Linked DNA regions of Caenorhabditis elegans. The protein of the gene in region 3 interacts with the protein of the main gene of each other region in a pairwise test. Each region holds a gene or a part of one and is shown on either strand. Other genes may lie near its edges.

Region 1 (3,755 bases), on a different chromosome or scaffold from region 3:
GCCGTTACGACATTGACAAGTCGTCGGTCAAATTTGAAATTTTAACGAATTTTTGGCCATTTTTTGAGCCGTCATAATTTTTTTTTGAGAAGTTTTCAAAAAAGTTTCATTATGAAATTCTGTGTTTTCAGACAATTTTGAGTCTAATGAAGCAATAAAAAAAATCGACTACACCGCCTATAATACACATGCTCGGAGAGTTGTAAATTTGAGACAAAAATTTTGAAGTTGTGGAATTTCTACTAATTTTGATGTTCTAAAAGGTTCAAAAACACTGAAAATTCAAATTTCGCGGTTTTTTTTCTTCAATTCAATCGAACATCGTTTATTGGGGGCACACAATAATACAAGTGACAAAAAGCTACACAAATCAAGAAATAACATGCTTCTGGTCCTCCTCCGCCTCCTCCTTCGCCGATTTCTGTTGCTGCACAGCGTCCTGCTTGATCTGCTTGTATTTCTCCTTTCTCAACTTGAATCTCCGATTCTGAAACCAAATCTTGATCTGCTCGGGCGAAAGTCCGATGACTGCTCCCAACTTCCGTCGCTCGTCAACCTTTATTGTGTCGCACTGCTCAAATCTGGTTCTCAACGCGTAAAGCTGAGAATCGGAGAACGGAGTTCGAGCGCCTCTCCGCTTTTCTGAAGGAGCTCTTGGATGCTGCTGATGCTGATGATGTAGAAAAGACGGCGGTGGTGGGATGAAGCCAGCGTGATGAGCCACCATAGGATGAGGAAACGAGGATGGGGAGAGTTGTGAGTACTGCTGCTGGAACCAGGCGAAGCATTGAGCTTGGTAGGCTTGAGCATGGGCTTGAACTCTGTAAAAAAAAAGGAATTTTCGGAAGAAAAGCGATCACGGAGATGAATTTTGTTGCAAATAAGCAGTGATCAAATTTTCCAAATAGGGATTTTTGCCGCTGTAAATTTAACATGCCAAAAAGAAGCTACCAAATTTGCCCAATTTGTGGCAATTGGACTTCTTGGAGCTGTTAATTTCAAAAAAAGCAGCTACCAAAATTGCCTAAATTTGGAATTTTGGCCACTGCTAATTGCGAAGAAGAAGCTTCGAAAATTGTTCAAAATTGAAATTTTTGAAAACAGTTAATTGCAAAAAAAGTAGCAAACAAAATTTCCTGAATTGGATTGTTAAGAGCTCTTAATTGCATAGAAGCAGCTACGAAAATAGTTCAGAATGGACTTTTCGACACTGCTAATTGCAGGAAAACAGCTACCAAAATTGCATAAATTTGGAATTTTTGGAGCTTTTAATTGCAAAAAAGCAGCTACCGAAATAGTTCAAATTGGAATTTTCGACATTGCTAGTTGCAATAAATCTACCAAATTTGCCCAATTTGTGCAAATTGGACTTCTTGGAGCTGTTAATTGCAAAAAAAGCAGCTGCTACCAAAATTGCCTAAATTTGGAATTTTGGCCACTGTTAATTGCAAAAAAGCAGCTACCAAATTTGCCCAATTTGTGCAAATTGGACTTTTCGACACTGTTAATTGCAAAATTGCAGCTACCAAAATAGTTCAAATTGGAATTTTTAGAGCTGTTAATTGCAACAAAGCAGCTAACAAAGTTTTTTTTTGCTAAAAATGCCCGTTCGCGGCCATATAGTGTGAAAAAGCTATATTTTGAGTAATTTCCCACTGTCAAAACTTATGGGGTTATTCAAGAAATGTTACTTGCAAAATGTATTTAAATACATGTTTTTAAATGTATTTTAATACAGTTGTGACGTAATTTTTCTACACTTTTTAATTTTCCGACGCTAATTGAATAACCCCATTAAAATTAGCGGTTCTTCACGCATTTCGGTAGAAAAACGTAGTGAAAATCACTCTAAAACGCCCGTTTTGTACTGAAAAGTATCGAAAAAACTTACAACATATCATTCCCATTATGAGCCAGCTGTTGTTGATAGTAAAGCTGATTGGGATCCGCCACGTAGCACGGTGATGGAGCCTGATAGGCCGCCGGATAGGCTGGCGATGAGCTCATTGAGCCCGGAGAGCTGCTTGGCATTGTGGAATATTCCATTACAGTAGCATTAGTAATAGCAGAAGTTGAATTAAGATTCGAAGAAGACAAAGGATAATAGTCACCGCCGTTATTAATATTATAGTTGGATGATGACATTTTGTGTGGAATGAATTGGGGGAATTATAGTGGCTATTCTCCAGCTGGGGAGGCTGTAAATCTAGGCGGAGCATTGCTGCCTAGGTAGGCGGGGAGGCGAGAAGGTGCGATTTTGTTTGGCGGGAGACATGACCGGGAAAAGGTGACACCGGAGAGGTGAGATACCTGGGAATTGGGTGAGATTTTCCGGCTGTTCTTCAGAATTGTCTGAAAATCTGGAAAAATGTGAAGTTTTTCCACGGAAAAGCGAATTTTCGATTGATTCTTGTAGTTTTTCGTACAAATCGGACAATGCCAAAATTTGGCAGTTTTGGTACTTTGTGTTGGATTACGGTAGAAATTTTGGTCTGAAAAGCTTATTTTTAAGCCAATTTCAGTCAAAAACTGCAGTTCCGGCAATTCGGCAAAAACTTGCCGGAATTAAAAATTTCCGGCAAATTTGCAAGTTGCCGGAATTGAAAATTTCTGGCAAATCGACAAATTGCTGGAATTTGAAATTTCCTGCAAACCGGCGGAATTAAAAATTTCTGGCAAATCGGCAAACTGGCAAACTGCCGGAATTGAAAATTTCTGGCAAAATGGGCGATTTGCCGGAATTGAAAATTTCCGGCAAATCGGCAAATTGGCGGAATTGAAAATTTCCGGCAAATTGTCGGAACTGAAAATTTCTGGCAAAATGGGCAATTTGCCGGAATTGAAAATTTCCTGCAAACCGGCAAAAATTTGCCGGAATTTAAAATTTCTGGCAAATTGCCGGAACTGAAAATTTCCTTCAAACCGGCACATTGCCGGAATTGAACATTTCCGGCAAACGGGTAAAAACTTGCCGGAATTCGCCGAATTTTCCGAACAACAATTGCCCGCCTACTTAAAACTTTTAAAAAAGCAAAAAAGAAAAAAACAACTGACATAAAAATTATCTGATCAATAAGATATTGGAAAAAATGTTGAAAATTGCAAAAAAATATATCGAATCTAGGCATATAGTGCTCCCTAAACTACAACCTACAACAAATTTCAAATAAAATATACAAAATTTTGCAAAAAAAAGAAAAAATATAATTAAAATTCAAATTTCGAAATGTTAAATTTGAAAATTTTAGAGTTTTTCGACGAAATTACAACAAAAACACTCTGAAAATTATAAAAATCCTGGATTTTTTCAGGTGAAAGAGGCAAAAATCATCGCAATGACTTGTACACACGCGGCTCTCCGTCGAAATGAGCTCGTGAAGCTCGGCTTCCGCTACGATAATATCGTAATGGAAGAAGCCGCTCAAATTCTTGAAGTTGAAACATTTATCCCATTGTTACTACAAAATCCACAAGACGGACACAATCGACTGAAACGATGGATTATGATTGGAGATCATCATCAGCTGCCGCCAGTTGTACAGAATCAGGCATTCCAGAAATATTCGAATATGGAACAATCGTTATTTGCGAGATTAGTCAGGCTTAGTGTACCAAATGTGCAGTTGGATCGACAGGGAAGAGCCAGGGCTCAGTGCGTGTTTTTTTTTGGGGAATTCTTGAGAAATTCTACGTGAAAATTAAGAATTTTACGGTTGAATTTACCGAAAAACGATTTTTCGTGCGAAATTGGCAAA
Region 2 (3,755 bases), 2.6 Mb from region 3:
TGTTTTGCCACGTCATTAATTTTATTGAGCTCCGTTTTTATTCGGAAGAATTTAAAGTCGACAGCTTCCTACTGTTTAAAAAATAACATATTAAAATGTTCTAATTTTAAAACTATAACAACTAAAGGTAGTCATTTCAAACTATTGATAATCCCCTTGTTCAACATTTGACATCTTATTTTAGGAAGTAAACTGGCCGTTGACAAACAAGAAGTAACAATCCCAAAAAAAGAAGGAAAGTTTACTTAATATAAGCAATTATAAACACCCCACCACTACAGTAATCATAATCGGAGCGGCGGCAAATAACTACTTATTTGGGAGGAGAGTGTTGCGATTTGAAATTAGAATTGAAAATTGACCTAGAGAAAAACTTTTTTTGAAGAAAATTAGGTTTTAAAAACTTTCGGAATACAAAACTGTGAAAAGTTAATTTTTATTAATATCATATATTTATTTGAAAACTTTCTAGGTTAAGTTTTCGAGGCCAAGAAAATCGAGAAAATCTGGTTGGGTTGTTGAAATCTTCAAACCGGATATGTACATGTGATGTGCATAAGGCGATTATAGCTTAGATCTTCATCGAAGGACCAGATGAAGTTATGCGTTTTTAAGACAACAAGAAGAAGGTGGAAAAGAAAAAAGTAAAAGAGGAGGGGGACAAATGGAATGAAAGAAATAGCGATTTTTGTTTTCTTTTAAACTTTCAGAACTTGATTGAACTAAGAGCTTTTTGATGGAGCCTCCCATTTGTTCCCCACCCCCATCATATCGTTTAATCAACAAAATATATTTTTGTGTGAGACCCCCCGATTCTTTTGTTTGCCAAACTGGTGAATAAGCAAGGTGTCATGGAAAAATGTGTAGCTCAAATGGGTTTTTTCTACCAAGAAATTTAGTAATGTTATATGACTTCAAAATTTTTTGGAAGTGAGCCCATTAAGTTCAGACACCTTTCGGAACTTTGCTCATTTATTCATTGGCTCATCCCTATAAGTAGTATGGGAAAAGAATCGGAAGAGCACCAGAGCTTCAGATAAAAAAGTTGCAAAATTCAGGGGAAAATAGACGGATATTTAAGGCTTAGAAGTGCGAATAATCTTTTTTTCCAGATTTTCTCCCTCTCCTTCTTTCGATTTTGTTATTGCAGGGATTTTGACATTTTAAGATTTATTTTTCAAGATTAAGTGGAGTTTGAGAGAAGGTGTTGTATTCTTAGATCTGTTAGATGTCTTTTCAAATGGAAATTTTATGAATCTAACTTAACTTTTGTTTTGAATTTTTTAAGCTGTGATTTTCAGAAAATTTACAAAAAAATTTTTTCCGGATGTAAATTCTTTGAAATATTTTGGCCCACGCTTAACATTTTCAAATTAAAAAAAAAACACTCACGTTCAACAGGAGAATCAAGGCACAAGTACTTGGTATCCGGTTCGTCTTTCCAAAATGATCCACCAATTTCGAGATCCGATGTTCCTGGAGATGTCAGTGAGAATTGCTCATAACCATTTCGCATACAGATGTTCATGCCGTTGAACAGATATAGAAGTTTGTGATTGATTACTAGATACACACAAACACAGATAGGACAGTTGGAAGTGTCACAAACGAAAAGAGAACCGAGAGCCCTGGGACCCACGGAGAGACAAGAAAGTGGGCGGAGTCATTGAGCGGGCGGACGACGAGCGACTGGTTGGTAGACTCCACCTACTAAGTGAGGAGAACGAAAGAAGTGAGAAGAAAACCAGCCGGATGTGAACACCCAAGTGATAGAATAAGAGTGTGAACATCCTGATTTTGTGGATATGGTAACCTATATTTCTTTTATTTGTAATTAATTGGATTAAAGCAGTTTTGTGTGAACTATTTGGATCATGAAAAAGTTTAAAAAATGACATTTCAAATGCCAAAAAAATTTTTGAGACAGTTAAATGTTACTGGCAAAATATATTCTATGAAATTACTCATCAAGATTGAAGTAATGAGCAAAAAATTATATTTAAACATTTAGAAAATTTCGAAATTTTTGAACAAAATTGTCTGCTCCTGAAAAAATTAAGAATTAAGGAAAGTAATGTGAGAAATTTGACCTCACTTTAGTTTCACAATTAAAGTTTCAAAATTAAATTACAAATCGCTTAGGACGTTTAAATTTCATAACCCTAGATTTTAGAGTTCAAAATCCATCCTATATTTTAGTCAAATTTTCTCGTACATTTTCAAATGTTTTTCTAGTTTCCTTTAGCTTCCATACTAATATCTCCGCGTACTACAGTTTAAGACAATAAACTCACAAAGTGTAGAACATCTTCAGAGTCTATAAATTATTCATGTAACTTTTCCAAAAAATGGCTGCAATACTGAAAAAATGTGGTATGTTTGCTTCGATCTTTAACACAATCATTTTTCTGATATTTAAATCAGAAACTGACTGGTTCTCTCAGAGGTTTAAAGTATTATGTTCATTGATGAATATTTTAAAAAATTGAGAAAAAAAATTGAAATCAGAAAACATGAGAATTCAACAAGATTATCCCTGGAAATATCTTCTTATCCGGATTCAACCTGACCCTCATTCTTCCTTTGGCTGGTGGACGCCATATTTTCCTTATTGAAAACTATCTAGAAACTAGAAATATGTTTTATTTTATTTTATTTTTGAGTCTCTCTTAGAGTTCATATCGATTGAAATATAGACTTGAAGTCCCAATTAGTCTTGCGTCCCTAATAGTATTGCACTTCTTCGTTAGTATTGCAAACTCTTCATTCTTTTAGTCAAAAAAATTGTACGAAAAGTGAATTTGCAGTTTCTATAGAGTTGCACTCTTAAATTAGCCGACACGTGGACATATGTATGTTTTAACTGATTCCCCCACTTCCTGTATACCTCAAAAGGTGTGAAATAACGAATGAAAAGATGAACATGCATGCGAGAGAAGGTGATAACGGACAAGTATTCGAGGATACTGTAGATTCCATCGATTGATAAGGATTTGAAAGATAAGATGATTAAATGGATGCTGGATTAATCCAGAATATTGGAAAATTTTTAGAACCGGGGAGAAATGTGAAAAATTTACAGCCATTTTTCAACTATTGTGGTGTAAGAGAAAACAAACTTTACAAGTTATATTTCATAGTTTATCGTATTCCATTTAAAAAAATATTTTTCCAAAACACGAAGAAATAGAAAGACCGAAATACAAAATTTTGTAATTTAAATTTTTTAATCTCGAAAATTTCTACATTTTGTACGAAAGTAAGTTTTGCAGTTTTTTGAACACTTCGAGAAAAGCTAGAAATCAATTTTCGCTAAAAAAAAAAGAGAAAACCGATAACTATGACTTACAAAAAAGATATATGCATATTGAAGAAAAAAACGTTATTCTCCAAAAGTCAATGATTTCCTGTTCAGATCACGCACAGTCTCACCTAAATATTGATTCTACGCGTGGTCATCTTCTCTCTCACTATTTTACAACTCAAAAGGTCCCGACAGGAAGTGAGCACATCGGGTAGGAATTAGAAGACACGTGGCAGACTCGAGAAGGTTTTCGAGTTTTCTCGATGGATAGGGAGTTGATCTTAATTAAAGGTTTAGTAGCGCCTGTGACGATTTTGTCAAAATGCATTTAAAATGGTAAAAAAAACTTAATGTCTACATCTAAAAGGTTTCATATTTTTCACAATTTTCAGTCAAAGTTTTGGCAAGTTATAAAAAATTCGAAAAACTCGGAGGTTTTCGGAAGCATTGC
Region 3 (3,755 bases):
CTGCCATTCTTTGTGCTTGTCAAGAATCCATTCGCCGGACATGTCGAGCTCATTGAGCTAGCTGATGAGTGTAGAACACTATTCGTTGGAGAAGAGGAAGAGGAGGGTGCAAAGGAAAATGATGTATTCTGGTGTCTTATTTCGAAGGATGATATTAACTTTCAACAGGTTCTTGTTTTTATTCAAGAAATTAAATTAAATATAAATATCTCTTGAAAATAGGCTCACTATTTCTTTCACGATTAATTAAACGGCGACAGAACATTTCATTCAATTTTATCCCAATAAAAAAAAATCAAAATAATGTTCAAGAATATTTAACAATTTTCTTCAAAATAAATTCTAGATTGTTTTAAATAAGAATTAATTAATTTTACTGAATAAAATTTCAGTTGATTGCCTCGAATCCCTGGCTCGCAGTTCACCTGGTTGATCTTATTCACAAATCCACATTGGATCCCGAGTTTGAAGTGATGAGGAAAATGCACATGTTGGACTACGCCAGTGTTCTTATCTCTCATTCTCCGTTAGTTTTTGAAATTTCTAATTACTGAAAAAACATTTTAAAATATAACTTCACAAATTTTTTATAGTCTGTGGGAAATCGGAGCCGGATATCTTATTGCGTGTGGTACCGAAGGACTTCTACGTCTCGAAACACACATCGAAGGGCTTCACATTGAGGATGATGAGATGGCTGAGCAGTTGCTGGAAATATGTGAAGAGCATCGACTGGAAGACGCGAAAAGTTGTGTGACAAATACAATGACTTTCCGGTATCTGAAGCAAGGACATTGGAGTTCAACACTCGCTTGGGCGTTGAAAACTGGATCCAAAAAGACAATTGACTGGACAGTATCTCGAATTGTTGGTTCAAGTTCGAAGGATGAATTGGCTGCATTAAGAGTTTTATCTTCAATAACCAATCATTCTGTACTCTCACTTCCATCTCTTACCTTCCTCTACTCTTATCAACGATTTGTGAAGATGATGCACTGTGGTGATGTACTGGACTGTGTTCAACATCTGATACCGCTTATTATGATGCCTGATGTTCCAACTCAGTATTACTATGATCTCTTCGATTATTTAATCACGATTATCAAAGAGGATGGGCGTGCTGGAATCCGATTTTCCAAGGAGATTCTCTATGAGCTCTCAACCTTTTTGTCAACGTTTACGCTTGATAAACATCGAGATTTGAATGATAATTATATGAAAAAGGTAAGTTTTATAGACATTTTTATGATCATATAATTATAAATTGTTACAGGTGAAAGTGCTCAAAAAGATGGTAATGCTCAAGTTGACAGACTCGATTGCGAAAGGAATTGCGTGCTCTTGAATAATTTATGAATTAATTTTATTTTATTTACATTTGCCGATGTTCTTTTTTGTTCTGGGATCTCAGAAAATTTAATTTTTTGTATGTGAATAAGGATCACATCTCTTAATTTTTTTACTATTACTTGGTTTTCCACACAAACTCGTTGAATTTCGAGGCCAACCTACCTTCTTTTCGAGTTTTCCCCAGAGATCGATAGTGACCTATGTGCTATGCAACCGTGCCCCATTGCACGTCCACAAGGCCTCGTCAGCTCCCTCGTCCTCTTTTTTCTGTTTCGACAGAAAACTGCTGGAGTTTATGAATTTATGTGGGCGCACATGACTGTGATCTATTGATTTTCTTCTGCTTTTTTCAATAATTCTGAACCATTTCACCCAACCTGTACCCATAATTTCAGGCAGTTGTGTGCTTTGCGCGCAACTCGGCCAGTCATCGACGTGAACGCCACGGCTTCTGCTCGCTGGCGCCAACTCGATTCCACTTCGGTGAGTTATCATTAAAATATTATCAAAAAAAAATTTCTTTTGATTACAGGCAGAGTCTGGTTCGCAGTCAGAACAAAGCGCTAGTTTGTCTGGATCAGAAGTCATGAGTAGTTCGGAGGAGGTTTGTATTATATTTCTATTTTCTGCGGAAAACAATCAGAAAAATCTAAATAGCCGTTTTTTTTAATGATTTATATTTTAAACTATGAATTTAATAACAAGTTTTATGGTCGATTGGTGAAATTTATTTTTAGTTTCGAATCTTTTTTTTTGTTCAGGTATCATGGATCACATGGTTCTGTGGCCTTCGTGGAAATGAGTTTTTCTGTGAAGTCGACGAGGAATATATTCAGGATCGGTTCAATTTGACAGGTCTCAATGAGCAAGTGCCCAAGTATCGACAGGCTCTTGACATGATTCTTGACTTAGAACCAGGTGATATTTTTGCTGACTTCATGTGCCCCCGCAATGTAACCTTTTTCTAGAAGATGACATAGAGGATAACGCAACGAACACTGATCTTGTTGAACAAGCCGCTGAAATGCTTTATGGACTCATTCACGCTAGATATATTCTTACGAATAGAGGAATCTCACAGATGGTCGAAAAGTGGCGTGATCATGACTTTGGAGTTTGCCCACGTGTCTACTGTGAAAATCAGCCAATGCTTCCAATTGGTGAGTTATAAAAAAATCGCTACTTCATTGGTTGCGGATAATTTTTTTTGAGAAAAGTGAAACTATAAAGTACTAAATTTTCCTAATTTAAAAGTGCATTTCCAATAAAATTTAAAACAAATATTTGTTTTTACACTAAAATTTCTGTAAAATTCCAATTTTTCCAGGATTGTCTGATGTTCCTGGCGAGGCTATGGTGAAATTGTACTGTCCACGTTGCAATGATGTTTTCGTTCCACGATCATCACGTCATCAACATACTGATGGAAGCTATTTTGGCACCGGATTCCCACATATGCTCTTCTTTGTTCATCCTGATCTGCGTCCACGCAGACCAGTCACTCAATTCGTTCCAAAGTATGTCAGAGGATATATATTAAGCTAAATATTTGAAAATCCGAAATTCTAATTTAAAAAATCTTTAAAATCTCGGCAATCGAGTAAATCTTTTCATTTCAGTATACCAATTAAACTTTTTGAATAAAAAATGAAGTAAAATATTTGCTTGATTCGAAAACACAACTTAATAATGTTGGAAAATTCAAAACGACTAGTGTCTGAAGGTTATTTTTTCGGCATTCGGCAACTTTCAGGCTCTATTTGAGATCTTTTTTCAAATATTTCAACAAGAATAAGTTGCAATTTCGAATCAATAAAATATTTTGACACATTTCTAAAATCATTTTTAATTCAAAAAGTTGACTTGGTAGACTGAAATTAGAAGATTTACTCTATTGCCGAAATAAGTTGGCTGTACTAAATTAGATTCGAAATAATTTTAGAAATTAGAAGATCAAACAATAATATTTTATCCACTTTAAAAATTTAGCAGAACTTAGTACAATAATAATTATGTTATGTGTAAATTTTTAAATATCAAAATTTTCAGACTCTACGGTTTCAAAATTCATCCTGTTGCTTATGGAGGACAGGAGGGAAACAGCGGCGGAAATACGGCGAATAACGTTGCCGCAGCACAAAACAACACGACTCCAGCCGGGCAACAATCTGGAGGACAATTCAATAATTATGGTCTCTGAGCCACTTTCTTCCTTATTTTTGTTTTGATTTCTTCTTTCCAGTTTCCATTCAGAATGTCCCCCCTCTCAACACAACATCCTTATTTTCTTCATTGTTTCGTTTTTTCTTCTCCCCAAAATTTTCTTTTCCGACAAAACTCAAGAATCCGGCGGTTCTTCCATGCGTGTTTCTCTTCTTTTCTAAATCTGTTCTATTCCAACATTA

What was found.
Region 1: the proteins of kin-10 (region 3) and ceh-51 interact in a two-hybrid assay, tested with the Caenorhabditis elegans proteins (one large-scale study listed by BioGRID).
Region 2: the proteins of kin-10 (region 3) and lim-7 interact in a two-hybrid assay, tested with the Caenorhabditis elegans proteins (one large-scale study listed by BioGRID).

What each region holds. Positions count from the first base shown.
Region 1 is NC_003283.11:18,872,523-18,876,277, reverse strand, and holds ceh-51 (Homeobox protein ceh-51), read right to left. Parts: upstream 2,146-3,755; coding exon 1,892-2,145; intron 822-1,891; coding exon 371-821; 3' UTR 296-370; downstream 1-295. Other genes in the region: emb-4 (Intron-binding protein aquarius), read left to right, coding at 3,312-3,652. UniProt on the Caenorhabditis elegans protein: Required for mesoderm development, including specification of muscle and coelomocyte precursors.
Region 2 is NC_003279.8:5,714,449-5,718,203, reverse strand, and holds the start of lim-7 (LIM/homeobox protein lim-7), read right to left. Parts: upstream 1,631-3,755; 5' UTR 1,529-1,630; coding exon 1,393-1,528; intron 1-1,392. UniProt on the Caenorhabditis elegans protein: Probable DNA-binding transcriptional activator.
Region 3 is NC_003279.8:8,288,996-8,292,750, reverse strand, and holds the start of kin-10 (Casein kinase II subunit beta), read left to right. Parts: upstream 1-1,745; 5' UTR 1,746-1,833; intron 1,834-1,882; 5' UTR 1,883-1,936; coding exon 1,937-1,954; intron 1,955-2,111; coding exon 2,112-2,268; intron 2,269-2,318; coding exon 2,319-2,510; intron 2,511-2,677; coding exon 2,678-2,867; intron 2,868-3,399; coding exon 3,400-3,550; 3' UTR 3,551-3,755. Other genes in the region: npp-2 (Nuclear pore complex protein Nup85), read left to right, coding at 1-168, 393-526, 594-1,224, 1,274-1,345. UniProt on the Caenorhabditis elegans protein: Participates in Wnt signaling. Plays a complex role in regulating the basal catalytic activity of the alpha subunit.